Linked DNA regions of Tribolium castaneum. The protein of the gene in region 4 interacts with the protein of the main gene of each other region in a biochemical or structural test. Links are inferred from orthologs where the notes say so. Each region holds a gene or a part of one and is shown on either strand. Other genes may lie near its edges.

Region 1 (6,256 bases), on a different chromosome or scaffold from region 4:
CTCGCCACAGCGCATGTATTGGTCACGCATTGCTGTGAACTCAACCTGGCCGGCAGTGTCCAAAATGTCCAAAAGGGCCGCTTCGCCATCGATCACCGCCTGCTTTTGGTACGAATCCTCTGGAAATAACACGAATTGCATTTACATTGTCTACTTTGAAGCACTCTAATAAATAAAACTCTAATAAAATAAAAATCCCGGCACCGTCATGAACATTGAAAGTCACGTAACCAACGATCAGGATTTGTCTTCAATCTCGGCTTTCTGGACATCCGACGTGGTAAACAACAATATCAATTTTATGTATTTAAATAGTTTATTTTTACTGAAATGTGTACCGTGTAATCGTGTCTTTGCTAAAGTAGGTACTGTGACTAGAGATGTTATATTTTAATTTTTTTTGTACTGAATTTAGGGCGTAAATAAATTTTGGATCGTAATCCAAGTTCAGGACGAGATTAATGTTTGGCCTGTTACATTATGTCGCACATATGTAAATAATATTATTTACATAAAAACATGTGTTTGCCCACCGGTTGATATTGTTGTTTGTCGCGCCGGATGTGCAGAAAGCCGAGGTTGAAAACAAGTCCTGGTCGATGGTGACGTCACGTTCAATCTTCATGACGCTGCCGGGATTGGAGTGAATACTGGTGCCAGTTTAGACACAGACAATTTGTTTTAAACTGACTTGAACTGATGGTTCAAGTTTTAATTTTTCGGAGGGCAACTGCTCTGCCCTTCATTGGTAATACTTATCACATAGTAGTTCTAACCGTGTGCAAGCTAATCGAAAATTATTGTGCAAAACAGAAAACATTTGTTAAAAACTGATAAAATATCTACCGCAATATCTGTCACTGTTACGGATTACCATAGTTTAGAATACGAAACATACATACGACATACAGCGTTAGGTAAAACTATAGAACCAAGCGTTTTGTGCCTAAACAATGCACCATACGAAAAAACTAATTAAGTACATCATCAACTACTTTAAAAATGATCATTTTTCAAGAATTTTTTTTCGAAAGTTTTCGAGTTATTCAAAAAAACTTTTTTTTCAAATGGCACCCTACAACGGCAGTTTTTTGATTAAAGATTATGCTTTAAAAATTACTTCCAATTCAATAATTTTGTTTTTTAACCAGTGTTTTTTTTAAATAAATTATTAAAGTTACGTTCCGAGCTCATTACGACGGTTTTCCGAATTTGACCGAAGAGGTGGCAGCATCCAGGGACGTTTTTATTCGAGTAATTTGATTCCTCAATATTTTCGCAAATATGGACATCCATGGATACAACCACTTCGGCCAAATTCGAAAAACCTTCGTAACAAGCTCGGAATGCAACTTTAATAATTTATTTTCAAAGAACCACTGGTATAAAGACAATATTAAAAGTAATCTCTAGAGCATGGTCTTTTACCAAAAAAATCGTCGTGGTGGGGTGTCATTTGTAAAAAAAAAAATAAATTTAATGACTCTAAAACTAAAAGGAATTTCGAAAAATTTTATTATTAAAAAACATCATCACATTTTTAAAGTACTTGATGATAAACTAATTGTTTTTTTCGTAAGGCACTTAGTTTAGACACAAAACGTTTGGTTCCATACTTTTGCCCAACGCCCCCATCTTCGGTAGTTCCATTAATGTCGTTAGGAAGCGCAGTTGTTCAATACTAAAACTTTTAGAGCAACGAATTTAAAAAAATGGTTGTATTTGAATAATGATTAGTAAAAGCAAACAATAACTATAATACCAAGTCCGCATATGAGATCTTCATACTTGATTGGAAGTATCAAATTCGTTCGTTAGTGGAGAAAAATTCGACATTTTTTGGTTAGCATAGCAACGTGGTTTCAGAACGGTTACACAAAAAAGATACAAAAAACGTGGATTAAAAATTGGTTATCTCGATGGTTTCATGTGAATTTTTTTCGAGACATCCCGGGCTCGTGGAAAAATCTAATATTTTATTTGAAAAATAAATAAATAAATCAATTGGAGGAATGCAGTATAAAATTGATTTATCTGGTTTTGTTAGTAGTAACACGTGGACGTGAGTTTTTTCCAAATTAGAAGCTCTTTAATTTTTAACCCATTAAAGTTTTGTCCATCCGATGTTGCTACTGCCTCTTTTCCTTTTTTTTTAAATCTTACTTCCACATAAATCATATAGTCCGGGAGTTCGTGATAAAAAAATTGTAATGGTTTTCTCTAAGCTCTAAATTTGAAAATAGATATTTTTTAATAACTTTACTTACTAACGTGAGCTTTCTAGCAGATGGGACACTATAGGTATAGCAACCCTTATTTTTTATACTTCTCCATCAGGAATTAATGAAATTTTTACAGTAGTCTCTAAGAGTAACGTAAACATTGTTTTTTTTTAATTATTGTTTCTGAATAGAAATACCTTTAAAGTTTAACCGCCAGTCATCACAGAATCTTCTCTTCAAAAATCTTTAAGTATTAACTATTAACGCTAATTATTTTCAAAAGATCTCCAAATCTAACAACCTTAATATAATTTGATACTTAAAATAGAACTACCAAAATAACAAACCGAATATAGGTTTGGTAACAGTGCATATTATTTAAAACGGAAAATAGGTGATTACGCAATAGCTAAACTTAAAAATGTCTAGAACAAATTAGAATTTAAAAGTTTGAATTTGAAGTTTGTAATTGCTTCCAGCCGAACTCCTTTAATCACCAAAAACCTGAAAAACTGTCAAATTTTTGATCATTTTTCACAAAATAAAAATTTCTACTTCTTTCTATTCTAAATTTTGTCTTGAACTTCGCACAAACAATGCGAGAACTCTGTCGGTGTAATAATCGTTTTCATGTATCATTTAAGACAAAGATGTTTTTAAAATTGCCAATGGCTTAAGATGTACAACGTAAAAGATGCTTAAAATAAAAAACACGTGTTACAATCTCTTATCCCTCATCGCCACTGCGCGGAGTGATCTGTGACGAGGGTGTTTGTAATTGTAACAGTTGTTTTTTCGCATACTCGCCGCCCAGCTCGCAGTGCTTGTTATTTACCTATGGTCGGGTCGTGATAGTCCAAGAAACTGTGGTTTACGAATTGGAGAGTGACAGCTACAACACACCTCATGAATGAATGTGTGAGAAAAGAGGGGAATTTTCTCACCAGATTTTCCCACGCCTCCGTCTCCCAAGACGACTATTTTATAAACTCGAAGTCCTCCGCTAGTTTTGTCTTGGGTGTTGCTGGCACCGGCCGTAGGCCTGTCTTCAACTTCTGAACCTTTACCTGATCTGTTTGATTCTTGACGGGATAGTTTACCTTTTTTCTTATGACTAGCTTCACCTGCCATTGTTTTTGGGTTTTTAAGTGGAGTTACCGCAAAGTGACACTATTTTTATTTATAAATACTGGTTTATTTCAAACATTTAATGGTATTTGCCACCCCCAGAACCTCCCCGCAGTTCATTTTGAGGATGACATTTTAGACATGTCGAGCGGAAGCGGCATCTAGCAGCGTCTGAGAAAACATCGTGGCGCAGTTTCCTGTTTTTTAAAAAATACAATTTTTAATGCCTGTCTACCAATATAAAATAATTATTTATTTACCGAGTTTGAGTGTAAATCGAACGCTTTTTTGCCGAGTAGATTTTTAAAGTTGGGTGATAATGAGAGGTTTATCTATCATCCACGAAAGGTGAAATAAAATGAACCGATTTACACGAAAACGCGGCCTATACATTTTATTCTTCGAATTAGACACAATAAGACTTAAAAGTGCTTTAAATTTGTTAACAATAATCTGACGTTTCGTATTGAGAAATGCCAAACAAACTTTCTTACACAGGAGCACCCTTCATAAGAGAAAAACCGCAAATTTTGTGTTGAAGATTAAAAACTTTTGTTTTTCTTAGAGTTCCTTTATTGGAACTCTAGTTTTTCTTAGCTCAAAACGTGTTGCTGGGCATTAGTTTAACACAGAATTCTTTTCTTTTACAGAAACTCTCAATTTGTGCTTTATCTTTCACTCCCAAAAATTCAAATGCGCTGTTGCAGTTCTACTATAAACTGAAATGGGAAATAGCAGAATTTTGCAACAGCATTTTGCATTATTTTGAATGGAACAAACTGCCGAAAGTGGTTAATTAATTTCCTTGTTTTAAATGGAAAGCTACGTTTTTTACTGTGTTTTTAGATTACTCGGTTTATTTTCAATGAGTTTTCATCGGCTTTCTTTATACCTAAATTTACTTGAATTGCATCTTTCAATTCAAAAATCGATAACTTTGCCATTTTTTTAAATTTTGAAATCTATTTTGGCTTATTTACATGGGAAAGTTTAGATAATCTCTTTGGTGTTTTCAAATTTCTAAAAAAGCTGGCTGCCCCCAAATTTTTTAGATTAAGTCCGAAACTTCAAACACCTATAACTCAAAATTTTTAAATAACATGCCACAATTTTTATTTTAATAAATGGTAGAGAATTTAATTCTGCATCGATCTGTACTTTAACTGTAATAACATAAAGTATTATTTTTTTAAATGATTGTCATAGGCGGCTGTGATATTTATGAAAAACTTTTTTTTTCTGATTTGATATGTCTATTTGTGTAATACATTATTTTTAGATATTAAAAAAAACATAACATTTCGCTTTTCCTTTATAGTAGGCCATGAAAAAATTTTGGATTTTCAATTAAAACTATGAAAACTAAATTACCCAACAAGTATTTACAATTTAATAATTTTTAAACACTAATAACATAACAACTAAACAGCATAATAAATTATAATTTGATTAAATTTTTGTATTTAATGAAAATTATTTGTTTTTAGATTTATAATGACAAGCTTATATTGTCATTCTATTTTCTAATTAAACATGAAATGTCGGAAAAACAACAATCTTATTAATTGTATGATTGGCTATCAATAAAATTTTATTTTACAAAAAAATGTCAGTCCAAACACCAAAATTAAATCCCATTTGCGGTAAAAAAATACATAACATTATCAACGTCACCTCAATTATACTTTACTAAATCATAAAAAAGTGTGATCAAATGATAGTGACACATCAAATAACATAGGTTATTTTGATAATTTCCCATTTTTTACTTAATAACCGTTCACAAAATTTTATGTGAAATAATTTTTACCATAGCCAACTACTTTCAAATATTTTAAATATACTTTTTATAAAAAGTATATAAAAATATCAAACTGTAATTATATTGTTTTCAGATCAGAAAAAAATAAGCTTTTCGAAAATGTCATAGCCAACTATGATTTATATTTAAAAAAATAAAACTTTGTTATTATAGCTAAACGAATAATTAAAAAAAACACTGATAACTTTATTAAATTCTCTGTAAAAAAGTGCCCGTATTATGTCTTTGTTTCAAATGTAAATCTTTTGTAATAAGGAAGATATGATTTTTTTTAGATTTCGCTAAAATGTCAACTTTTGTCGAAAACAAAAAATTATAGCGAGAGGCGGTTTTAACCAAAATTATTATCCCAAAAAACGGACCCGAGAATGTGTCACTCGTTTTTCTCTAAACGTCTTAGTTTCGGATTTCCCCTATTCGGAAATCCAAAATGCAACGCCCTGTACAGTAAAAATTTTTCAAGTGTAAAAGTGATAAAAACATAGTTTATTAGTTTTTCCAAACGTTTAATGAAACAACAAATAGTACAATTTGACCATACAAATTAAGTCATCTAGGTATCACATTTAAATTTCCCGCCATACTGTAAAAAAGCCAGAAAGCGCAAATAATGATAAACGAAAAATTGTATAGCTAAGTGCTCAGTAGTTATTAAAGCGGCTAGATTTATTTTCATAAAGTATTTCCACATTTAGTCAAAAGTATTTATTGTATAACTATGAACTACCCTTTGGCACCCTTGGTCATATAAATTTCTAACAACCTATATATCTCAAAAACTAAGTTTGCCATTGCATTTTCTTGACTACTTCCAACAGCCATTACAGTAAACGGAGTATCTAAACCAAACAAAGCGCAATATACTGGAGGTGACTCTTGAAACAAATCTATTTGGTATCTAATATCTAATTTCTCGAAAATATAATCTAATCCTTCCTTATCCTTCAATTTATACTGCTTTTGAAAATCCTCAAAACACACATTTTTGTCCTCCATTCTCCTCTTAATAGCTGTTGAATAGTCCTCAATCAAGACTGCCCTGTTAGGCATAACATCTAGAGTCGTTGACAATTCACTATATTTC
Region 2 (6,023 bases), on a different chromosome or scaffold from region 4:
TTTGATTCCGGTTAACTCAAAACTGGCGAGGTCCACCATACCGAAGCTGGCCCAGAAAAGCGACTGGGACGACTCAAAAACGCTAAAATAGCAATTAATTTCTTTAATTTTATTTATTAGAAACAAGGGCAGGAACTATCAAATTACGTCGACTTTTGCGATTTTTTTAAAGGAAAAAATAAATAAAAAAATTACTTAGCGAAACGGCGCCACTTCATGCACGAATCGGCCGCATTATCAAAATCGGCTTCACCACTTGGTAAATGGTAACATTTCTTCTTTTCCAAATCCGAAAAGTACCACAAGAGTTGGTTCAAACCGCAGGCAAAAGCAAACAGCACCAGAGTGTAAATAAAGAAGAATTTTACAATGTCTATGACCATTCTTCCAAGCGATATTTGCAACGGCCCCAAATGTGGGTTGATGGAGAACAAATGGACCAGTTTTAAGGCACTGAAAAAAAATTAAAAAAACATTTTTTTACCTCTTCTTATTATAATAAAGAATTATTTTCAACACATATAAAAAGAAACCTAGAAGCTTCATTTTTTGCAAAAAAATTCTCAACGCAGTAGTTTTTTTTCACAATTACCTGAAAATATTTGCGGCTGCGAAAAGCCCCTCAGCAATCAATTGCGGATCGAAAGCTTGCCACTCCTCTCGCCTGATATATGCCGTAAAAGGGTCATTTTCAATTTCGGAAGTTTGCTGGATATAGGCAGCCACACGTAACAAAAAAACGGCCGTATAAAGAAAATTTCGCGTAAAATCAATAAAATTCCACAAGTTACGCAAATACGATTTCATTCCTTCCACATAAATCTCGTGAGTTTCCTCGAAAATGAACCCAATAACATAAATCAAGACAACATATTCTAGGATAGTTGGGGGGTTTCCCCTTTGTTTTCGGTACTTTTCCTGTAGGTTTTGTTTCATGCTTTCGGTTCCGAACAATTCGATGATTTGGTCTTCGGCTCGTTGAGACACCAGGATTAACAAAACTGAAACAAAGTTTAAATTTTTGGCCAATGATGAACGTAAAAACTGACACAAAAAGAACAAATAGGACGAGGCATGAATTAAGAATTTCATGAAGGGTTTTCTCATTAGTTTCCCGGTTTTCGTTCCGGGTGTTATCATGTATAGCATGCAATAGAAGGGGAATAAAACGGCCACTTTGACAATGATCATGATTTTTTGGGTTGAGGATTTGCGCCGAAATCCGGGAACGCCTTCGTACCAGATGGCGGCTAAGAGTTGTTGGATGTTTGGATGGGCTACGAACTTTTTTTTTGTTAGAATTTTTGAGTGATGTTTAATTGAGGAATACTTTTTTTTGTTTGTATTGAATGGCGAGTTCGAGGCGTGCAAGTTTCATGTGTTCGCCTTCTTCGTAAGGTGGGGCGGCTGGGTCGTGGTTGAGGATGAACGCTAGTTCTTGGGAGCTGCGAGTTTGGTGGAGGAGGTCGACAGCGAATTGTTGGCATTGGCGGCGCAGGTCCATGTATTCGGATTTACATTCCTGGAATTAAGCATTTGATAAAGTGGAACTGTGTAAAATGATCCGGGGAATCGATTGGCATCGAGAAAATTACCAAATTCCGAATAGTTTCTTAGTTATGAATTTTTTAAAATTTTACCAATTTTTGCATTTATCAGCAATTTGCTCGAAAACTATAAGTCGGAGAACAATAATCTTTTTTGAAAAAAATAGATAATCTAAAGAGCTTTCCAACGATAATACACTTCATGGGGTTATCTCTGATAGTTCCGGAGCTATTGCTCGACAAATGTTCCGGGTACCCAAAATCGACAAAAATTGCGACGAAAATTGAAAAAATCAAACATCAAAAAATCGAACATATGGACTTTTTGTGGACTTTTAACAACTCTAGAGGGATGTACAGGCTCATAAAAGTCCATAAAAGAATGATAGAACGAGTTAAAAAATTTTTTTTCACCATGAAGGTAAGTGTATAACTCAGGAAATTTTAAGCAAAAAAATTCAAAATTTTAAATCTCGTGAAAAGTTGGTATAATACAGAAAATGAGCCGCTGAATTCATTGGAACAAACCGCATAGCTCTACGACTTTTAGTTTTTGAGTTATGAATTTTTTTATTGAATAAAATTTTTCATTATAGAAATTGCCTATTTTAATTTTTTGCAAAAAATTTTAAAATGTCAGATCTCGTTGAAAGTTGGTTTTATACAGAAAATGAGCCGCTGAATTCAATGGAACAAACCGCATTGCTCTTTTAGTTTTTGAGTTATGAATTTTTTTATTCTAAAACTTTTAGTCTAAGTTTTATAGTTCCGGAGTTATTGCATGATGAATGAATAAAAATTGTCTATCTACTTACCGGTTCAGCAAACGCCAGATTCCTCAATTCCCACGACAATTGAAACGCTGTTAAAATCGGATCACTTGACGAAAGTGCAATCAAAGACGGACTTGCCAGAGCTTTGTACTCGTTTAGTCTCGCTAACGAGTGTCGTAAATAATCCTCTTCAGATTCTTTGATACATTCATCACATCCACATCTACGATTTTTAGTTATTTTTATTTATTTTTTTATTTATGGTCGTACTTGATATCATGTGGCATCGGAATAGTCGCTCCTCTGTCTAACAAAATTTTCAAAATTTCGTAATTATTTCGATGGGCGGCCAAAGTCAAGGGAGTGATATCAGGTGTGAACATGGCAGTGTTGATGTCAACTTTTTGCCAACTCTGCAAAATATTTGCTCAAATGAAGCAAAATAAAGTTAACAAAAACTTACATAAGGCTCCCCATCTTTGTGGATCAACTCCTCGTGTTCCAACAAAAGCTCAACAGCTTCCACAAACTCTACGTGAATAGCATGCAGAAGAGCATCTCTAGTTTCCACTCCCATGATCACCAGGAGTTCCACCATTTCGAGATGCTCTTGGTCGATGGCAATCGATAAAGCACCACGTCCTAGACTATCCACACAATTAATATCAAACGATTTTTTCCGGTGGGCTTTTTGCAACATTCTGGAAGAAATAATCGTGTTACTTATTAAATTGTGTTGGTGGTTATTATTTATTCCATTACCGGCGAACATTTGCCATGTCTCCACGTTCAATGGCCAATAAATATTTTTTTTCTTCAATTGAAAGTGACTTGGGCAAGTTGGGCATGATTAGGGTCTTGCGTGTGACTTTAGCCTCAACATCAACCTATCACAAGACAATTAATTAGGGGAAAATTTAATGAAACTTACCGAATCCCCCATTTTGCACAAATTTAGGCGATCACATTACTCTCTAGAAAAATAGGGCGAGTAATAAGTTAGTAATAATCTTGTAAGCGCTTATAACTATGGTCTAATCACATTATTGTCTTTATTAAATTAGATTACACCAAACGAGTGCATTACACTAACCGACTTTTTGGTAAAATTACTATTGGTTTAAATGCAATAAAGCAACTAAGAAAATTGATTGCGCCAATAAGGAATTTTTGGTGATTTTTTCCAACTCAAAACTCCTATTATATAACGCTCCTGGGAGTAATCCTCTTGGCTTTGTCCCGCATTTTAATTCAATTAATAGTGAGGGTCAATACAAACTTGAAAGTATTCTCGATGCGACAAGTGATTGAAAATGTTTGGATCTGATTGTAATAATGAAAGGGCGTTAAGTCAGGTGGAAAAATCGTTTTTGCTTCATGCCGAAAGGGGTGATTGTGCTACAGTTCGCAGGTAATTTTTTATAGCATATTTCATTGTCAGTTGTTTTGAGTGGGTAAAATTGCACTTTAACAAGGGTAGATAAAATATTATTTTAACACTAATTTTTTTCTATTAAATTACTTATTGAAAAAATGTAGTATACATGACAATAAAGATGGTTGATGGTCTTTTAATTAATTATAATTTCAGTTTTCCATTTTTTTTGTTTTTTCTTTGCTGTTTTAGAGTTTTTTAATTTTGTTTTTGTATTCCATTTTCTAAGTTTTTTGCTTTTAAAAATAAACAAGAAATTAATTGCGAAAAAAATAATAGGATAATTGAGGAATATGGTGGTGGTGAGGGCGATCAAGAGTTTGATATAAACTGCATCGATGCTCTAAATCGCTCAGCGTTCGTTATAGCAATTGAGAATGGAAATATCGAGCTGGTGAAGCTTCTCCTTGAGTCGCAGATTGACGTTAAAGTAATCGCAAGTAATAATAAGTTTTATTTTTAGTGCTGCGAAATTTTAATTGCAGGATGGATTGCTTCATGCAATAAATGAGGAATTTGTGGAAGCGGTTGAAATGCTTTTAGATTGGGAGGAGAGGACGCATCAAGTTGGCGATTTGTACAGTTGGGAAAAAGTCGAACGGTGTTCGGCCACTTTTACACCTGATATTACACCTCTGGTCTTAGCCGGGCATAAAAATAATTACGAGATTATTAAGCTGTTGCTGGATAGAGGAGCCACTCTTCCATTGCCTCACGATGTCAAGTAATTAAATTGAAAAATGAAAAATTACACTATTTAGGTCGAAATTTCTGATTTTTTGACTAGAAAAATGTGCTTAATTTCGACTTAATTTGGTGTTTTTTTTGGTAATTCTCTTAGTCTGTTTTGCGCAAAATGAGAGATTGTACAAGAACAAGTTTAAACCGAGGAGCCGTTTTCAAGTGCATAAAACTTTGCTTTAGTGATTTAAAAAAACTGCAACCGCAATGCTCTACGACTTTTAGTTTTTTTTTTATGAATTTTTTTAGTGAAAAACTTTGATCGCTTCTGTAGCCAGAACCGTTGCCCGGAGGGGCTCCGGGTTTGGTCGAAAAAATAAATAAAATTAAGCGCTATCAGATGGTTTTTTGCTCGTTGCTCTAAGTCTTACAGTTTCCGAGAAAAACGCAAAAAATGTTTCTATTTTCACTTTTTTTCAATTTTCAACCGCCAATTACGGCCAAACTATTAGAGTTATCGAAAAACGGAAAAATCGTGGACAACCGGAATAAAAAACTCTACAAAATGGCATAGGACTCAAGGCGATATCTCGCAAAAAAATTCAATTTTCATACGCCGATTACGGCCAAACTAAAAGAACTAGGAGAAAACGCTTTTTTCCATCAGAAAGAGCACATCAAAATCTATAAGATAGAATAGGTTTTATTTGACTTTGAGACATTTTTAAAATTGACCGATTTTAAGGGGGGGGTGTTAACTTTTTTTTAATTTTTTTATTTTCTCATTTACGGTTAAACTATTTTAAAATGTGGAACTATTTTGATCCATATCTATGCAAAATGATCCGGGGAATCGATTGGCATCGAGAAAATTACCAAATTCCGAATAGTTTTTTAGTTATGAATTTTTTAAAATTTCACCAATTTTTGCATTTGTCAGCAATTTGCTCGAAAACTATAAGTCAGAGAACATTAATCTTTTTTGAAAAAAATAGATAATCTAAAGAGCTTTCCAACGATAATACACTTCATGGGATTATCTCTGATAGTTCCGGAGCTATTGCTCGACACATGTTCCGGGTACCCAAAATCGACAAAAATTACGACGAAAATTGAAAAAATCAAACATAAAAAAATCGAATATTTCACTTTTTGTGGACTTTTAACAACTCTAGAGGGATGTAAAAGCATATAAAAGTCCAAAAAACTATAATAGGACAAGTTTAAAAAAAAATAATTTTTCCACCTTTTTGAAGGTAAGTAAGTGTATTAAGCAAATTTTAAGCAAAATAATTCAAAATTTTAAATCTCGTGAAAAGTTAGTATAATACAGAAAATGAGCCGCTGAATTCACTGGAACAAACCGTTTTGCTCTACGGCTTTTAGTTTTTGATTTATGAATTTTTTTGTTGAATTGTTTTTGTTTTCTTCTCAACTTTTTAAAATTTGTACAATTAATTCGGCCTCTCGGTTCAAACGTTCGAAAATTTTTTTTAATTTTTTTCCTGATTAATTTTTAAGATGTGGTTGTGACGAATGCGTTTGCTCAAACCAAAGTGACTCTTTACGACATTCTCAAGCTCGGAT
Region 3 (5,431 bases), on a different chromosome or scaffold from region 4:
TACTTTTGGTCATTTTATTTTATGTTTGTAGAAAATTGTTGATTCCGTGACGATTTCTTCGAACAGTTCGAGCGACATTGAAGTTAAGATAACTTCAACTTGTTCGCACCCCAAGATAAACGGCTGCACAAACATCCACATTGGCGAAATCGTTAACTTCACTGCCATAATCAAACCACTGCAGTGCACCAAAGGCTCAAACAAGCACGTAATAACCGTTAAACCCGAAGCACTAGACGAGAGCATTGTCATCGACTTGGAGGTACTCTGCGACTGTGATTGCAGCTCTCAGGCGTTGGATCCGCAAAAGTGCTCAAATTCCGGAGCGCTCCGCTGTGGCGTCTGCGACTGCGATCCGGGCTTCTTTGGAAAAACGTGCGAGTGTAACAAGAAAACCTCGGATTCCGCCGACGTCTCTCTGTGCAAGGCCTCAAAAAACGACACAAGAATTTGTTCCGGCTTGGGTTTTTGCAGATGCGGCCAGTGCCAGTGCTACCAGCGGAGCAATCCCGACGAGAAAATCTTCGGCAAGTATTGCGACTGCGACAATTACAGTTGCAAAAGGGTGAATGGAAGGCTGTGCTCGCAGCGAGGGTCCTGCGAGTGCGGGGGGATTTGTAAGTGTCAAGCTGGATGGACGGGAGACGCCTGCGAGTGTCCAGACAGCGACAACAGCTGTGTTAAGCCAGATAACAATCTCGTTTGCAACGGACATGGAAACTGCAACTGCGGCAAGTGCGAGTGTTTCGACGAGGAAGTGAGATATTCGGGGAAGTACTGCGACGAGTGCCCAACTTGCGAAGGCCAGAGGTGCGAGGAATTGCGCCCTTGTGTTGAGTGCCAGATTTACAAAAGCGGGGTTTTCAACGAAGAAGAGTGTCAAAGCAATTGCACTTTCTTCCAAAGCGAAGCTGTCGACAAGTTGGAGAACAGTCACGACGAGCAGGTTAAAACGTGTACTTTAGTTGACGAAAACGACTGCACTTTTGCGTTTCAATATGAATATGTTAACGAAAAAAATTTAAAAGTCACAGCTGAAAAGGAAAAAATTTGTCGAGGGCCACCTAATATTTTAGGTAAGTAGTATTTGTTATACTTGTGTTTTTTACTTAGTTCTCATCGTAGCTTGGATCTTGGGTGTTATTGGGTCGGTTTTATTAGCAGGAGTGATTTTGTTACTTACCTGGAAAGTCTGCACCACCGTTCACGACCGGCAAGAGTACGCAAAGTTTGAAAATGAGAGGCAAAAAATGCAGTGGCATCGAAACGACAATCCTCTTTATCGACAAGCCACTTCTACTTTTAAAAATCCTGTGTATAGAACATACAAATTGTCAAAAACTAGATCTGAGTGAATGCTTTTTTGCTTTTACCAAAAATACAAAAAAATAGCAATATTGTGATTTAAAAAAATTTTTAATATTGTCTACATTTGCTTGAAATTAAATAAATATTTATTTTTTTTTATTTTGTTTATTTTTAACATTTAAGTTTACAATTTTACATGTTTTTATTTGAGATCTACATAGGGTTAACATAAATATTGAAACAAATTTATTTGACGCGCATCAAAAGTGTGGTACACAAAATTTAAAAAATCGTCAAAAAAATCCTTTTGCTTTTGCATTTGATTTTTTTCATAAATACATCGCCAAAAAAAATTATTATATTGGATCCTAGACTTTTGGTGTGCACTATAAATATAATCAGAATATAATAGCGAAAAAGTCTTAAATTTCTACTTCAAAACCTTCTAAAACAACACCCGGTGCCAAGTGTATTTTTATCTTTTTCCTGTCACAAGTATATTGAATATTGTTTATATTACGATTATTTCTGGCTTCGGCGCTTTCGTAAGTTTTACCCTCTACTCCATTTATTCCAGTTTTCCTTAAAGAATATGGTAAAACTTTTACATTATTATCCTCTATTTTGACTTCTTTTTTGAAGTTAGTTTTTCTTAACATCCCCTGAAAATTAAAAGGTGGTTCGTTTTCTGAAGCAGTTTTTTGCCCAATTTGCTTCAATTCTGTTACAGGATCTATTCTCTTGAGCTTTTTTGTCAACGGTGATTTTATGTAATCGAAATCTTCATTAGCTAGCTTTGAATTAAAATTAATTTTTTCTTCATTTTTGGAAAAAGTTTTCGTTTCCTTCTCTTCTTTCATAGTTTTTTTTAACATTTCCTTATTGTGTAAAAAATTGTCGTCTACTGTTTTGTTTTTAGTATTCTTACGGTTAACATTTTCCTCTTCTTGTATTGAATCTCGAGCAAATGGTGAAGCAATGGGAATTTTAGTTTGCACCGCCTGGTCAAACTTCGAAGAAATCAAATTTCTCCAACGATATGGTAGATCCCATGAATCATTTTTTTCATCCAATAGCCTAAAAAAATAAGTTAACAGGTGATTAATTAATCTTACATATTAAAATTAACTCGTAATTCAACACAAAGTTTGACATTTCGCTGGTATCACAAAAAGGTATTTCATCAAGACGAAAAGGCATTTTTTGTACAGCTACCGAATATTCTCCCAACCAAACAGAAATGTTTGCTTTTGAGTCGATATTGTCTAACGAAATTGCTTGATTAAGCTCTTCAAGTTCGTAAAAAATGCCAATGTTATATAAATGAACCTACAATTTTAAGAAAAAAATTATTATTATCTTTCAATCACAGATACTACTCGATACCTGTTGAGAAAAATTAAAACAATCTTGATGTCTTACAGATTTATAAAGAAATAATATACGAAACACTGTATTATTTTTCCATTTGAGCGCAAATTTTCGAATAAAACCACACGTTTCTTCATCTAGAATTTTGTAATCTTCTGCAAAGTCTTGGTAAGACTTTTTTACAGTTGATTCTCTGTAAGCTATTAAACAGTTGTGGAAGAAGCGCGTTTTAATGTATTTACAAACCTTTCTGTATTATGATCGCGGCTTCTTCTTCAGTCATTCTGTATTTCTCTGCCTGCACATGTCCTAGAACTGAAACGGTTTTTTTAATTATTCAATTATCCAATGATACATACTGCATTTTTCTCCTTTGTTTTGGAGGTGCTTGGTAACCAAACACTTCGCCAGAAACCTCCTTAAAATGCTCTGTATTTTAATAATTTTCTTAACTTGCGTTTCAAATAGTCTAGTCAGATATTCTTCAACGTAATACTTGAGAAAAACTTTAGATTTTCCAACATCCCAGCCTTCGACTCCGAGACGAATCAAAAGCAGCCGACAGTTTTCTTTAGTAGTTTCAACGTTTTCATTGAAATCGAAAGCAAGAAATTTATATCGTCTTAAAAACTCGTGAAAAGAGGTTCGATAGGAGTAGCCGTTTTGCCTCAATTTTGCAGTTTCGACCACTTCTAGGGCCCGTATTTGTTGCTTAACTAATCCGCAGTCGAAATTTTTTGGAACCTGATGCAGGTCTGTTCTTACACAACGAACAAAATGAGTGCATCCTTTTGACAAGTCTTTCAGCAGTTCCACACCAAGTGCTTTAAATTTCCTCAGGGACGTGGTTAAGTGCTTAATTTGGGAATATTGATTATGTGTCAGTTTCTTCGAAGTAAATTTATATTTTGACCTATCAGGTGCGTCAACTATTAAATTTCCAGTTCGATTTAGTTTATTTGTAAAAAGTAACTTTACAGTTGGATTGTCGGACAAACGAAGAGTTTCAATCACTTCAGCCGGAAGGAAATCTCTGTTTTTCTCACATATATCGCATCCTTTGTAAGTTACAGTTCCCGTATAATGAGCAACTGCAAAATCTAAGTTTCCCACAACTTTTACAAACTTCAAGTCACTGTTTTCAATAAAATTGATAACGTGTTTTTCATTCTGGTTCATTTTAGAGACTTCGTCAATTATCGAGAAAACACCTTCGGGTTTACCCAACAATTCATCCAGGCACGATTTGTTGTCATAATAATTTGATGAAGTATTAAAATTCAAATCTTCGTCCTTCATGTCCAAATATTCCCAATAAAAGTTTCGTTGTGTGTAATAATAATGCATTTGTTCATTGAAGCAATTGACGAAAAGCTGTGACAAGTAATTCTCTTTAAAACACTCAAAGCCAAAATAATCAAGGATTTGAACTGAATATGTTTCTCCACTAGAAGAACAATAAATTATAAAGCAAAAAAAAAGCTTGAATAAATTACAATATTTTTCGTCCCGCACTTAATCTGTTATTAATTGTGTTGACAATGTAATCAACTAGTCTTAAATACAAATTATTAGCCAACGCATCTCGTACACTCTTTGCTTCGTCTTCTGTATTTTTTTTCCTAATTATAACATCTTTCTTGATTAGACAGTAATTGGCTAAAGCCCAATGAAATTTGCAAGGATCAATTTGTAGTAACTGAGCAATTTTTTCAACGCATTCCTTATCTCCGCTCTCCAAATCGGCTTCCACAAAAGACATTTCACCCAAAATTAGGATAGCAGACGTTATTGATAATATCGTATCTATTTCGGAATCATTAAACTCAAAGTCTTCAAAAAATTTTAACATCTGTTTAAAGTCAATTAAATCAACTTTCACTTCATCATTTGTGTCTTCACATTTCTTCAAATATTTGTATTCAAAATCGGAATTTAATAAATATTTCTCCAATTTTTTATTTATTTTTAATCCTTCATATACAGAATATAAGAAATAAAATGTACCTTGCACACTATCAAAACCTATGATCAGTACCCGAATTTCAATAGCAACATACCCACCTATCAGTTGAAGAAACTCTCCATTTTTCTAATTGAAATACGTTGAAAATAGCACCACTGACTTTCCCTGTGTTTCCGAACTTAATATCAACTTTAAAGACGCATCTAGTGGAATAATTATTGATTGGCGTCAAAGCGTGTGTTAGAGAATGAATTAATTTAACTGCATTTACGATTCTCTGGAGATTAATGTTGTCATTTTGTCCGAGATAAATTAGATGATTTAGCAAGTGGAAAAAATTCGTCGTTTTTCCAGAACCACTTTCTCCCGATAAAACGATTTTCTGGGAAATGTGGTGGTGAAGCGCGTTCTGATAAGCACTATCAGCGATGGCAAATATGTGAGGCTCGTTGTCAGAGCGTGATTTCATTTGGTATTTGCGGTGAAACTTGAAAAAAATAAATAAATAAATTCAGAATATTATATTGCTTGCGGCTGTATAGACAACACATTTTACTACGAATTGTATGTAGTGTTATAGGCCCACTGACCCTAACTTCGTATTTATTATTGAGTTTTTAGTTTTTTGAGTTTATTAATATTAAATTTAACTAAAAAATATTTACCTCGTCACCATAAATGTCTTTTTTTTCGTTTGGATTAAGAATGAGCAAGATTTCACCAATAAAAGTTTGAAATTGTCCTGACTTGAAGCGCGCTTCAAGCAATTTCATCACATCCTCTTCT
Region 4 (6,341 bases):
GGGCGGTATTTTCAGGGGAAAAGCATGAATAAAGCGTACCGTCCATGTCTTCAGCCGCCTGAGCGTAACTACATCTCGACGGGTTGAAGAACAGATGTGTCCGATAGTGGTGCTCCTCCATGGGGGTGTACCCCTGCTCCCGACTGGCCCTCTTGCTCGCATGTCTGTTGGCACAAGCTTTCGAAGTTTTGCTCGCGACGCCGCTTTTTTGCTCCCGGAAGTTTTTCCGGAACATCAGATTCATGGTGACGGTGGTTCTTACAACAGTCTGAAATGTAGCGACATGTGCAGGGCAGGCGCAATGTTTTACAAACGAAATGAAATCATCAATCGATATTACCTTGGCAAATTGATTCGGGCAATTCGTAAATAAGGCCTCATTAAGGTAAAGAACGTAATTGCCGACACCTGACACTATTTTTAGAGATGTAGCATCCACGGTCACGGCGTCGCGACGCTAACGACGCTACTTCTGAAGACTTGAATCCGGCGAAACAACTCGGACGAATCCATCTATTTATAAAAGGTGCGCGGAATTATTACTCACACGCGGTAGGTCAGTGGTGGCGCACCTGATGACCTACTGCTAATCACTAAGGGGTGAGGAGGGGTGGCAATAGATTTGCCGAGGGGAGAATTTTTCATCAAGCGAAACAAGAGTTAATTAAAACTTGGCCGGTCCGTGTCTACATATCGGGCAGTAAAATATGAAAAAACGCCTCATTATAGTCATTATTCATTTTCAACGTTTATCATGGGCCAACATTCAAGGACGCTGGATTAAATTATTCTTTTATGCATATTTTTATTCTTTAAGGATGTTTTTCTTTTGGCTTACCGGCAGATAGCGTAACTACAGTCCTTTAAAGCAATTTTTGTCATATTGTTACAATATGATCGGCTAAACGGGTAAAATATTTACGTTTTTGCAAATTGTTTATTATAATTTTTTCTTTTTTTTACCACTCACTATTTTGCTAATATTGTATTTTTATCTCGCTCATTTTCAGTGCTAATTAAATGTGATAGTGCCGGTCAAGGCAGTTCGTTGCTTTTTTATGGTGTTTGTTGGGCAAGAACAGAAAATCGCTTTAAATTGTTTATTTTTAAAATAAGGAAAAAGTATTAACATAAAAAATCGTAATAGTAATGTAGCCGTAATAATCTAATAACGGGATGATAAACAATCACTAGATAAATAATTTTTAGTCACATTTATTTCAAATTTAAACATCTAATAATTTCACATTGTAACCGATGATAGTCCTTATCTATAAATAAAATAAATAAAACAGTTCAATAAAAAATGACAAGGCTGACGAAAAAAGTGTCTATTTGGTTATACACTGGAAAATCCTACCTATTGAAAATGTAAAACCTACAGTACAGTAGATCTGGGGATGATGACAACTGAACAAATGACTCATTTATAATAAAAACAAAGGGGATACATACTATAGTTAAGTGCACAGATGTATGTTTTTTTGGATCACAAAGTATGAAACATGAAACTCTGAGTGTATTCTAAGTCTGTGTATCCCCTAAACTAACACCGAAAGAACGACTTATAAGTACAATTTCATACTTTGTGAATAACGAGAACGACTCAACTAGACATGTAGCACAGAAGTTGAAACAGTATAGAGGATGCTTGGTGTTGCACCTTCCAAACAAATATATTACAAAAATTTACACAATTATATTAATTTATAAATATTTATTATTAATTAAAGTTGTCTTGTAAATCAAATAACGATTAAGTTTTTCACTTTAGTGGCCCGGCAGCCAAGCAAAAAGTTCAAGATGTTGAAATTGTAGATAATGGGCCGGGATGAAACAATGGAAAGCTGAAATGCAAACTGCTCTACTCTTCATTTTGAAGTCATCATAGTAACGAACTCTGTAATCAAAAAGGAAAAGAAAAACCAAGATTAATTAAAAAGATCCTCAGTAATAAAAAATAAACCTAACACAACATAATCCCAACGTAATAAAGAATCGTGTTGGGTGCACTACATCGATATAAGTGAAACGTTATTACTGGTACGAATAATTTTCATTCGTATTAGCCAAGAAACTTCTGAAATCGTAATGCGCACATTACTTTTTTATTGTTTTAATTAGTTTTTGTTAATTGTATCTACGACAATAATGAAGATGCAGTCAAAGTTTTTTGGAAATGTGCTTCACTGTTGGTAATCAAAAACAACTCTAACCATAAAAAGCGAATAGACACATCGTCAAAGAGTGCTCAAGACAGTGATAGGTAGAACAGTAACAAAATAACATGCCACTAAGCACATTCCCAAAGCAAGACTACAACTGACCAGCTCGAAGCATGTGTGGCTGAGTACCGACTGAAAACTATGAGAGCTAGAGCTCGGAAATCTGCAAAGGAACACTACCAGTCATACCTTCCTGGCCTAGAACACATATCGAAATAAAACCAAAAAAAAAAGAGCTACATTCACATAAAACCCAAACGAAAATCAAAGACCCGTGATCGTCCCAAGCCTACTACACTATACCCGACAAAAATGATAAATGTACAACACACAAAACACCCGAAAAAACATTACCTTCGTAATTGACCTGACCGTCGCCGTCTATATCAGCTTCTCGGATCATTTCATCGACTTCTTCATCGGTTAACTTCTCACCGAGGTTTGTCATCACGTGACGCAATTCGGCTGCCGAAATGAAACCGTTGCCGTCTTTGTCGAATACTCGGAATGCCTCGCGAATTTCTTCTTCACTATCGGTGTCCTTCATTTTACGGGCCATCATCGTTAGGAACTCAGGAAAATCGATTGTACCATTACCTAAACACCCAAAAAACTGTGTCACCCAGAAAAATCCCACATCGAATTGTTATTTTTGGAATCGCATTACGGAAAATAATCTAATTTACTTATCCTTCGATAGTTTAGGATAATTAAAAAGGTACTAAAACTGCAAAGAACACGGCCCGAAATTGCGCTGCCACAGCAATAAATACGAAAATAACATCCTCCGAAAAACACACCAGAATTCTCCAAATAGTTGCGACCTTTGCGTCTCCAGGGAGCGCAGTAATAATCAATTTATAAAAATTTATAGCCCTTCGTATAGTGGCGGCGCCACTACGCATCCGTGTCAACATTCACGCCTTCATTGTTATAAATTAAGAAAACAGGAATTTCCGTCACTATTTGATAAACAAAACCGCAACATGAAAAAATTGGTTTTCTCCCGTTCAAACTCGACTCAGTCAAACGTTATCTTTTTTAAAACAATATCCACGTCTGAAATATTCAATACTTGTGCATTTTCATTTTCCTTCACACAGTTAGTCCGCTCTATTAAAATTCATAGCGTAATCTTAGCCTTTATGGACCATCATCGTTGGCTTAGGAGTGCGAACTGTCATTGAATAACAAATGAATGCTGTTTCGCAAATTATCTTGGGTGCCACGGGGTAATTTCATGGCTAATGCGATTCGACCGACGCTGATCTACATACAGATGGGCGATTTTTCTAGTGTCTAGCAGCGGCCTATAACCAACACTGGGTCAAATTATTAAAGTGATGTTTTATTCGATATTTTTAAGAACCGATTTCTTTACTTTTCGTCGAAATTATCTACGTTTTTTTTAATGATAAATTGTTCTAATCAATGCATAGGTGTTTTTCCGAAAGGTGAAATTACTCATGCTGTGGACATAAGTTACTCATCTTACTCAAAGTTTAGTCATTAACGTACTTTTTGAATTCGTTACCAACTTTATGATGAAAAAACTTTTGATTGGGGTTTGCTATTTAATTAATAACCGTCACAGCCAAATATCGATGACGTATTTGCGATAAGATAAGTTTGTTTCTATGAAGAATTTTTAATTGGGATTATCGAGAGTTGCGATTTTATCACCGATTGTATAGTCTATTTGAGAACAATGCAGTCCATTATCGGTTTATCAACGTTGGTAAAAAATAACCGATCAAACTGTTACACTTTGAATAGTATGTAGCGATAAAGTTTTATCTGGCAATAATTACATCATTCCGTTTTTCTTAATAAAACAAACGTTGAAGGCAAATAATCAAACTGGCAACAGATGGTCCTAACGGTCACACGGTTAAGTTGGCAATAGAAAAAAGCCCTGTCAAAACAGTCGTTTGTTTATCGAAGTCGAGTTGATCTTACCATCGGCATCTACTTCATTGATCATATCCTGGAGTTCTGCCTCCGTGGGATTTTGTCCTAGTGATCTCATAACAGTTCCTAATTCTTTGGTAGTGATCGTGCCATCGCCGTCCTTGTCGAACAGCGAAAAAGCCTCTTTGAACTCGGCGATCTGCTCCTCGGTGAGTTGGTCAGCCTACAAGCCATCAGAAAGTAAACACCCCAAGCAACAGATCGATACAAGTCCCCAGCGTCGAAATTTAGCAATACCGTCGAAAATAGCCGTCGAAATTGAATTTGTCCGCATTGCGGTAAACCAATTTACCGGTTTACGGCAACTGACAGCTATTTGCGAAAGCATCACAAACCAGAAATATCCGCGCGAAGCGCGACCATCCGCAGCCCCGCGCCCCAAAGCCGCCCTTCGGCCGCCTCCGGCCCACTTACCATGGCTGTATTTCCGGTAAAAAGGGCACTCTAAACAATTCTTTGCCACGAAAACAACTGTCACTTGCGACTTTTCGCGTCAAAGTGCACCAGCCAACTGTCTGCGTCTGTGTCTTTTCTCGTTTTGTTTAGGATGGGAGGGTGGAGGGGCTGCGAAAGCACTACCGCCAAAGCGCAATAGTGCGGCTACGACACCAACGAGTAAATATTCCTACGCCCAGCCCGCCCCCACCGAGGCCCCCCGCGGGCCCCCAGCGCCACAAAAACCCCCCCAAACCTCGCGAGAACCCGCCACAAGCCCCCACAAAGACGCTTTTTCAAAATTGAGCCCCCCAAAGCCGCAAAGCCCCGGATCTAGTTTTGCGCGCGGAGAGTCCGCCACGTTTGAATGTCGGGCGCGGCTTGTTTACAACGTACTTTCGTACGGAGCTGCGTTCCCATTGGTCGATATGTACCTGCAATGCGTCAAGCAAGCCGTGCACGCGGTGGTTCAAGTAACGGCGTGATGCGTCGGATTCGGGGCGACGCTGCTCGGGTGCGGCAGTGGCGCACCGACGAAAAACAAAGGAAACGCCCCCTGATTGGGGCCGGGAAGCAGTTCGGCGAAGGGCTTTGGGGCATGAGGTGTGTGAGGGTCCGAAAACGATCGCCTTTTTTTTCGCAAATTGACAGCCATAGCACGCTGCGCAACTTGGCGTCTAATTCAATTAATGCATTCGGGAAGGTGCATATACAGGGTGGTGTGGAAACAAGGCGTTGGATCAATAAGTATTTATTGCGTCTTGAGATACTTGAACCACGATAAATAGCAAGGGTTTTGAAAATTTGAATGCAGAAGGCGTGATGGGAATAATAAAACAAATTAATAACTAGAAGTTTTTTATTCAGTTAAAATTTCTACATAATTGATCCACAATTTGAAATTTTTCGTGACCTTGATATTGGTTCAGTAAATTTCACCCGTGCGTAACAGTCGCGTGACATAATTTCTGACTGGAACTGTACCATGAGTCACTTTATGCAAAATAAATATTGCCAACTTTTTTAGATGTGTTTAGTAAAACAATGACACATAGATTAACTGAAATTTTTTCCGCATTTTCTTTTTTTTTAATAAAAATTGTTAGAAAAAAATTGAGTCGTTGCTAAAAAGATTTACATTATCGTCAGTTTAATACTCCAAACTGGCAATATTGGTCGGTGACGTCACATGCCCATAACAATTTGAAGGGAGTTCTAAAAGATCGTAATGCAAATGCTTGAAAAACAGTTTTATTGTCGGAAGTCTGTTATTAAAAATTTCATCAAGGTTAATATTAAAGTTCAGGATAATGCAATTTCGTGTTTTATGAGATGTTTACTCTTGTCGGTAGTTTTACCATAAGGAAAATATTTGTGCAGGAATCTGTAGAGCACTTCGGGATCTTTAAATTGATAAGATTATCAGTAACCTTGCGACCAAAAATATCTGTTTCAGCGTCACGATTGCGTGTGAAGGGATTTAAAAACGGAAAGTGAAAAGAAATCATAATAAAAATGTATAATTAAAATATAAAACAATATTATTGTTTTAATCTGATATAATATCTCTTTCCATCAGTTGAGTAATTTTTACAATTTAAAACAATTTTTATGGTATATTGTTCCCCAATCGGAATTTTAAGTATTGCCTCAGTAAATATTATGACTAGGTGAGTCGTAGCGCCACCACTCGTTTCTACCTTTAATTAC
Region 5 (5,987 bases), about 5.8 Mb from region 4:
TTGCCAGCTCCTGACTCTCCGGAAACTATAATCGATTGGGATTGCTTCAGGGTTTTCATATCGCGAAAAGCCTTGTCGGCGATCGCGAAAACGTGGGGTGGCATTTGGCCCAAAGATTTGCCTTGGTAGTTTTTGATTGTCTGGGGGGAGTAGAGTTGGGGGATGTCTTTGTAGGGGTTGACGGCGATTAGGATGTTTGCCACGTAGGTCTAAAATTCGCTGTTATCGGCGAGCTTACGCGCGATAAGGACTTACGTAGATTTTATTTTGGTAATATCTGATACGGATATTGTTGAGGAGTGAACCTTCGTTTAGGAAAACCATTTCGCAGTTGTCATCGTAGTCTTTATTTACGTCATCTTCTTGTGCTTTGAAAATGTCGCTGAAAGGCAAGACCCGTTTGGGGAATTTCGAGTTGACGGGGATTACTTCAGCACCCTCTACTAAAAGTTCGGAAATTCGGGCAAGGATGAACCCTTCGGTAGGGTCCCGAGCCCAAACCGAGTCCATGTTTCACTCTAAAAATACGTTTTTGTCAATGCCGATGAAACGGTGTCGGTAAAAATTGTTGAGTAAAGACCATATGCCACGTACAGTTATACAGGGATACGGTACTCGTGACCCACTTGATGATACAGAAGAGCAGATTTGCCTCAAGTTTTAATTTAAGCGGCTTTATTATTTAGAATGAGGCGACGTTATGTCGAAATCGACTAAAGAAGACGTTCAACTGCTTCTTACGTTGTAACGGGAGAAAAAATCTATAACCACGAAACTAACTACAACCAATTTAGTTTTAATGAAAGAATAAAATGATAAGTCAAATAATATGAAATTTGAACTCAATTAACACAATTTTCTATAACCAAAATACACCTAACTGGAATACTAAAGAAAGGGTAAAGTTTTATCTATTCAATTTTTAACTTTATTGATTATCGTACGGGTCGTACGTCAGTCTAGATTAATATCAGCTACTTATAAGCAAACATATATTAAATTAATAAACGATAATTTGATAAAAATTGCAAGTTTTATTATGATTAGATTAACTGGGGCATTCAAAAACGTCGGAAAATGTAGAACATTCTTTTAAAATCTTATCTCTTAGGCATTTTACAAATTTTTAAAAAAGTCAATTTTTTTTGGTTAAATTAGATTAGGTAACAAATATCAAGGCAGATACTAACTAGGCATAAATCAGCATCAATTTTTTAAATTCATTGTAGTTGTTAATGTCTTTTAGCAGTTACCAGATTTTTTGTTATTAACACAAACGGAGAACAACTTTGGTTTTTAGAACAATAATTGAGAAGTTTGTGAAAATACAATTTATTACATGATTTGTTGAGATTACTGTGATTGATTGATTATTCGGCCGCTGGATTAAGAAAGTGGAAGTGTTTTTCCAGAATTATAACCAATTGCGGTTGCAACATGATAATGGCAAGGTTACGTGAACGTTCACAGAATTGTTACTGCAATTTTGAAAACAGAATATGGTTCTCAGAAATTGGAATTTGCTGAAACGGTGTCACAAGTAGTAAAAGAACTGTTTTAATTTTTACACCAAACAGATGGTGGATTTGTGAAGCGAAAAAAATCGAGTCAAATTGGGGCAATGTTAAGTGTTATTAAACGTTATCTAGTTTGTTTTTTCCAACTGATATGTTTTACGAGACTCTATTTGTAAATGCAATGGTTTGTTTTAAGTCAGTCAAGTAGCGTAAAATTTTATTCGCGAATAAATATTTTGGTTTCTAAGAGAGAAACTTAGAAAAGAAAGTGAAAATTTCCTTTTTTCTAGAATAATTTTGGTTGGTAGGTTGTACAGTTTTTGATTAGCGATCGATAATACTAAATTTTATTGAAATGTGTGGATAGACTTTGATAAAGCCTTGTCACTGATAACATCTTACAGATATGCAAGACTATAAATATCTGTGAATCAAATAATTTTCGCGCAAAATGAACATTTTTGGTATTTTTTTTGTTTTAAATCTTGGCTCATCTCGTTTAACGGAGTTTCAAATTACACATTCTTGAAAATTCACGCTGGATGAGTTCGAAATGAATAAGTTAATGTACTTTTTACAATCCGTTTTAAATTTACGTCGTTTGTAGATCTCACCGATGCAAATCTGTTGCTACTTTTCACCATAAAATCGCTGTAACCGTTGTTGCTTCCTTATTTTTCTTGACAGACTTTCAAAGAATGACCTGATTGTAACTACAATGACTGATCTTTCGCTCCGTTATTTTATTGTCGAACAAAAACAATACGAAAGTCGAATTTTGCTGGAAATTAATCAACCAGATGATTGGTCACGAAGAATAATTTTTGATTAGAGAAATAGTCAACTGTAGCAAAACCGCACTAATATGGGAACATCCGTTCAAGGCCTTCAAAATTAATCATACGGTGTTTATAGTCAAGGTCTAGGCCTACACTTTCGATTGACAAAACAACAAATTTCGACGAATTTCTCCCTCGCTAATTGAATATGATTTGTTAAACAAGATGTTACGTCGGTAATTTATTTGCTACATCAACTTTGATTATGTTAATTGAATAAACAGAGGGACAAACCGTACGACATGTGCTTTCTAAGAAGAAATTGTAAATAAACGCTTCCTGTTACTAAGAGCTTCAGTTTTCCACACTTTCGACGCAAATGGGGCATAATTTAAATGCAAATTGAGCCACGTCTATGCATCTTCCTTCAATTAGTCGAAGCATAAAAATTAGAATAATTATTAAGTTCATTGTCAAGTGCTAGTTTTTAACATTTCGTGATAGTCTCGTTTCAGTTGGTTTGGGATCACTGAACTAAGCCAGTAAAGCTATCAGGCTGAATATATATATCTTCACCTTCAGTCAATGCTGCTGGAATTCCCTTCAAAACCTTGAAGGCTCTTTTGAAAAAATTCAGTTATCTTAAGTTTGCTCAAGATTAGATACGATCGAAAAAAATCAAAACAGTTTAAGTGAAAATGCAACGCTGTTACGAAACGATAACACTGTTGCAGATCTTTTCGCAGACTCTTGCAACAATAATTACTCAATGACTCATATTACAATGAACAATAAAGACAACAAATTGTAACACCAGCACTTGAAATGTCACGGTTATAAAGTATGATTCTTTGAAGAGTTGAATTTCGAATTCTGGTCTCGCCCTATTGTTGTCTATCGTAGGTAGAAACCTCACTTTTGAAAGGTCATTATTTATGAACGTGGGGATGTTATAGACGTGTAGTTCCGGTAATCTTGTCACCGGAAGTGTTATACAACAATAATGTCACCGGAATTGCGCCAAACTGTACCCCTTTTTGAAATTCGATAAACTAATGAAGCTTTGCTTTGTTTCCCTTACTAGAAAGCGTCAGAATCTCGCATTTTCGACGAAATAATCAGGCTGTAACAGCGCTAATTTAAAAAAGAAATTCGACATACCTATTTTAGGCACGGTTTATACGTTGATAACAGGTGATAGTGTTGTGTGAACTGAAACGTGGCTTGTGATTATAATAATTTAATAAGTGCTCTTATCACTGATAAAGCTACGGTTTTTAATTTGACAAACCGAAATTGCCTTAATTGAAAATTAAGCGAGCGCTAGTATCAGAGAATAAATTGTATTACCTGTTTTCCGCTAAATCCTCCTAGTTTTATTAACAAACTACCGTAAAGTTGCGATAAAACCACCTTGACGAACACCTTGCGCACATATGACCCAGCACTGTGTTTGTGTTTGCTCTTTCCGTTCCACACACCGCGAGTAGCGAAGAATTTTTAAATGGGAATTAAAATGTCCGCCGAGTGCGCACGTCTCAGCGAAACAACATGGAAAGCGCTTGAGTTCGAATGTAATACAAAGAGATTTCGATTGGTGGGCGATTTACCACACTTTTAAGGCTTTTGCGGGGTCACAAAGCTTGAATTTGGACTGGGATTTAGACATTTGCTAAAAATTTTGATACTTGTGACACTTGTCATCATGTCTTGAGTAAAAATCGTTTTACGTAAACTTAATTTATTTATTTACAAGAGTATTTACAATGTTCACCTAAAAGTAGATAACTATATTAATACGTTTATCTATACTTTCCTGTCCATAAATTCTCTTGGGAATGATTGTACAGTCGCTGTACACAAATTAAATTATCTAGATGAACATTTCAGTGGTGATGTATCATGGTTTTCTTTGGTCCAGGATATGACAAAATGGATTACAACTTATAACAAAGGGAATTCAATTAGTAAAAATAAAAAACTAAACCAGAATGACTTGATCTAACGTTCCCTTCATACAAGGATGCTGATAATGCTTCAAGACCACACTTCTTTCACGCGACTTTCATACAAGACTTAGGACTGCTTGGGATGGGGGACCACAGCTTGCGGTTGAGTCTTGAAACATTGGAGGAGAAAAGCTGTGTAAATGACAAAAGCGATGCTAATGGCGAATAACGCGTACATGAAAATGTTCAGTTCGGGTTGTCGGAAACGATTCTTTCGCAACCATTCCAAAACATCAGCTTCGGAATGCATATCTCCGCGGTATATGCTCGGGAAACGTCTTCGGAAGTACACGATGGCGGGAAGATTCGTCACGCCCCATTTTCTGGCGTACCGCGGATCCGCCATCTTGACAAACGTGATATCAAAGTTGTCCGTCTCGCTGTCAATATTCTCCAGCTTTTCCATAATTGCCTTGCTCTCTTCCGAATTAATTTCATCTGAAACAGCTGGTTATTGTGGCCTTTAAACTGTCTAAACTACCAACAGAAAAACACCGTGACGAACTCGTTCTCTTCCAAGAGTTTCTCCAACATTTTTTTGTTCACTTCTTCGATCTCATTTTTGATTTCGAAAACGTCTTGAGAGGTCAGCCAGTCGAGCACTTTGTCGGATTGGGTCAAGTCGCCTTCGTACACCATCGGGGTCTTCTTCCGGAAATACATCAGTGCGGGAAGCGTGTGCAACCCTTGCTCAGCTGCGGCCTCAGCGCTGCATATTTTGACAAAGTCGATTCCGAACATGTCGGCTTCCCCGTCGATTTCTTCCAAATTTTCCAGAATTTCGTCGCATTCGGGACAATCTTCATCGTCTACAAGCCAAAAGACAGTAAACAAAAAGGGGCAAAAACACGGCTTACAGAAGAAGACTGCGAGAAATGGAGACTCGTTGAGCAGTCTTGTTAACATTCTTTCATTGACTGATTCGATCTCATCAGCAAGCTCGCGGTTGTCGTCGTCTATTAGCCATTCGAGCACTGAGTCTTCGTTCTGGAGGTCGCCTTCAAACAGCAACGGATTGCCGTTTCTGAAATAGACAAGTGCAGGGAATGTTTTGATACTGTAGCGTTTCGCTAATTGCGGGTCTTGAATCCGGACCAAATGAATTCCGTAGACATCACACTCATCGTCGATTTTTTCCAAATCTTCCAAAATCTGCTCACAAATGTGGCAATTCTGCTTGTAGAAGTAGACAGCCAAGTATTGTGTGTCTTGGACTAGGTTTTCCAACATGACTCTTGTAATTAACTCGATTCGGTCTTCGGTTCGTTGCTGGATAAGCCATTGGAGGACTTCCTCCTCCTCTTCCAGGTCGCCCTCAAATACGCCCCCAACCCCACTTTCGAAATACATCAAAACTGGGAAGTCGGTCGCTCCGTACTGTTCGGCAATTTTCAAATCCTGCGTCTTGACGAAGAGAATTCCGTGGCGTTCGCAATCGTCGTCGATATTCTCCAACTCTTCCAAAATGTGGGCACATTGTTCACACTCATCGTTATCTATATTGACACAAGAAATTAGCAAAAAGTTTGGGGAAAATCTACTACAAACAAGCTAAAAGGTGTTAAATGTACGTGTAGTGTTAAATAGCTCTAGTCGTTGATCGTCGAAAGAAAAACTTGTAGGAAAAGTGTCCCTGTTCAAGGAAAAGGCATAATACAACACTACGGGTAAAAAGTACCGTC

Evidence for each region.
Region 1: the proteins of Cam (region 4) and GTP-binding protein Rit1 interact in a test that uses a peptide from one of them, tested with the Drosophila melanogaster proteins (2 studies listed by BioGRID, with this or other methods). The link is inferred for Tribolium castaneum from reciprocal best matches to the Drosophila melanogaster genes Cam and Ric.
Region 2: the proteins of Cam (region 4) and trpl interact in a test that uses a peptide from one of them, tested with the Drosophila melanogaster proteins (2 studies listed by BioGRID). The link is inferred for Tribolium castaneum from reciprocal best matches to the Drosophila melanogaster genes Cam and trpl.
Region 3: the proteins of Cam (region 4) and ninaC interact in a test that uses a peptide from one of them, tested with the Drosophila melanogaster proteins (2 studies listed by BioGRID, with this or other methods). The link is inferred for Tribolium castaneum from reciprocal best matches to the Drosophila melanogaster genes Cam and ninaC.
Region 5: the proteins of Cam (region 4) and jar form a complex in vitro, tested with the Drosophila melanogaster proteins (2 studies listed by BioGRID). The link is inferred for Tribolium castaneum from reciprocal best matches to the Drosophila melanogaster genes Cam and jar.

Annotation. Positions count from the first base shown.
Region 1 is NC_087396.1:9,919,592-9,925,847, forward strand, and holds the start of GTP-binding protein Rit1, read right to left. Parts: upstream 3,508-6,256; 5' UTR 3,354-3,507; coding exon 3,167-3,353; intron 3,115-3,166; coding exon 3,058-3,114; intron 120-3,057; coding exon 1-119. Other genes in the region: R2D2 protein, read right to left, coding at 5,896-6,256.
Region 2 is NC_087402.1:543,555-549,577, reverse strand, and holds the start of trpl (transient-receptor-potential-like protein), read right to left. Parts: upstream 3,411-6,023; 5' UTR 3,264-3,410; coding exon 3,252-3,263; intron 3,208-3,251; coding exon 3,083-3,207; intron 3,022-3,082; coding exon 2,784-3,021; intron 2,734-2,783; coding exon 2,591-2,733; intron 2,544-2,590; coding exon 2,363-2,543; intron 1,523-2,362; coding exon 1,331-1,522; intron 1,285-1,330; coding exon 1,050-1,284; intron 1,002-1,049; coding exon 593-1,001; intron 454-592; coding exon 196-453; intron 83-195; coding exon 1-82. Other genes in the region: trp (transient receptor potential protein), read left to right, coding at 3,634-3,731, 4,035-4,185, 4,241-4,479, 5,958-6,023. UniProt on the Drosophila melanogaster protein: A light-sensitive calcium channel that is required for inositide-mediated Ca(2+) entry in the retina during phospholipase C (PLC)-mediated phototransduction. Required for vision in the dark and in dim light. Binds calmodulin.
Region 3 is NC_087398.1:9,792,773-9,798,203, forward strand, and holds the end of ninaC (neither inactivation nor afterpotential protein C), read right to left. Parts: coding exon 5,311-5,431; intron 5,133-5,310; coding exon 4,744-5,132; intron 4,695-4,743; coding exon 4,176-4,694; intron 4,127-4,175; coding exon 3,039-4,126; intron 2,995-3,038; coding exon 2,926-2,994; intron 2,880-2,925; coding exon 2,695-2,879; intron 2,638-2,694; coding exon 2,438-2,637; intron 2,386-2,437; coding exon 1,751-2,385; coding exon of another isoform or gene 1,731-1,750; exon of another isoform or gene 1,695-1,730; coding exon 1,591-1,694; 3' UTR 1,473-1,590; downstream 1-1,472. Other genes in the region: integrin beta-PS, read left to right, coding at 32-1,076, 1,126-1,355. UniProt on the Drosophila melanogaster protein: Required for photoreceptor cell function. The ninaC proteins combines putative serine/threonine-protein kinase and myosin activities. Essential for the expression and stability of the rtp protein in the photoreceptors.
Region 4 is NC_087397.1:1,842,442-1,848,782, forward strand, and holds Cam (calmodulin), read right to left. Parts: upstream 4,771-6,341; 5' UTR 4,614-4,770; coding exon 4,611-4,613; intron 4,360-4,610; coding exon 4,185-4,359; intron 2,823-4,184; coding exon 2,580-2,822; intron 1,901-2,579; coding exon 1,872-1,900; 3' UTR 1,200-1,871; downstream 1-1,199. Other genes in the region: uncharacterized protein LOC660922, read right to left, coding at 40-244. UniProt on the Drosophila melanogaster protein: Calmodulin mediates the control of a large number of enzymes, ion channels and other proteins by Ca(2+). Among the enzymes to be stimulated by the calmodulin-Ca(2+) complex are a number of protein kinases and phosphatases.
Region 5 is NC_087397.1:7,630,779-7,636,765, reverse strand, and holds the start of jar (myosin heavy chain 95F), read right to left. Parts: upstream 3,893-5,987; 5' UTR 3,647-3,892; intron 3,515-3,646; exon of another isoform or gene 3,458-3,514; intron 519-3,457; 5' UTR 511-518; coding exon 256-510; intron 210-255; coding exon 1-209. Other genes in the region: uncharacterized protein hlk, read right to left, coding at 4,373-4,743, 4,791-5,114, 5,163-5,801, 5,984-5,987. UniProt on the Drosophila melanogaster protein: Myosin is a protein that binds to actin and has ATPase activity that is activated by actin. Together CLIP-190 and jar may coordinate the interaction between the actin and microtubule cytoskeleton.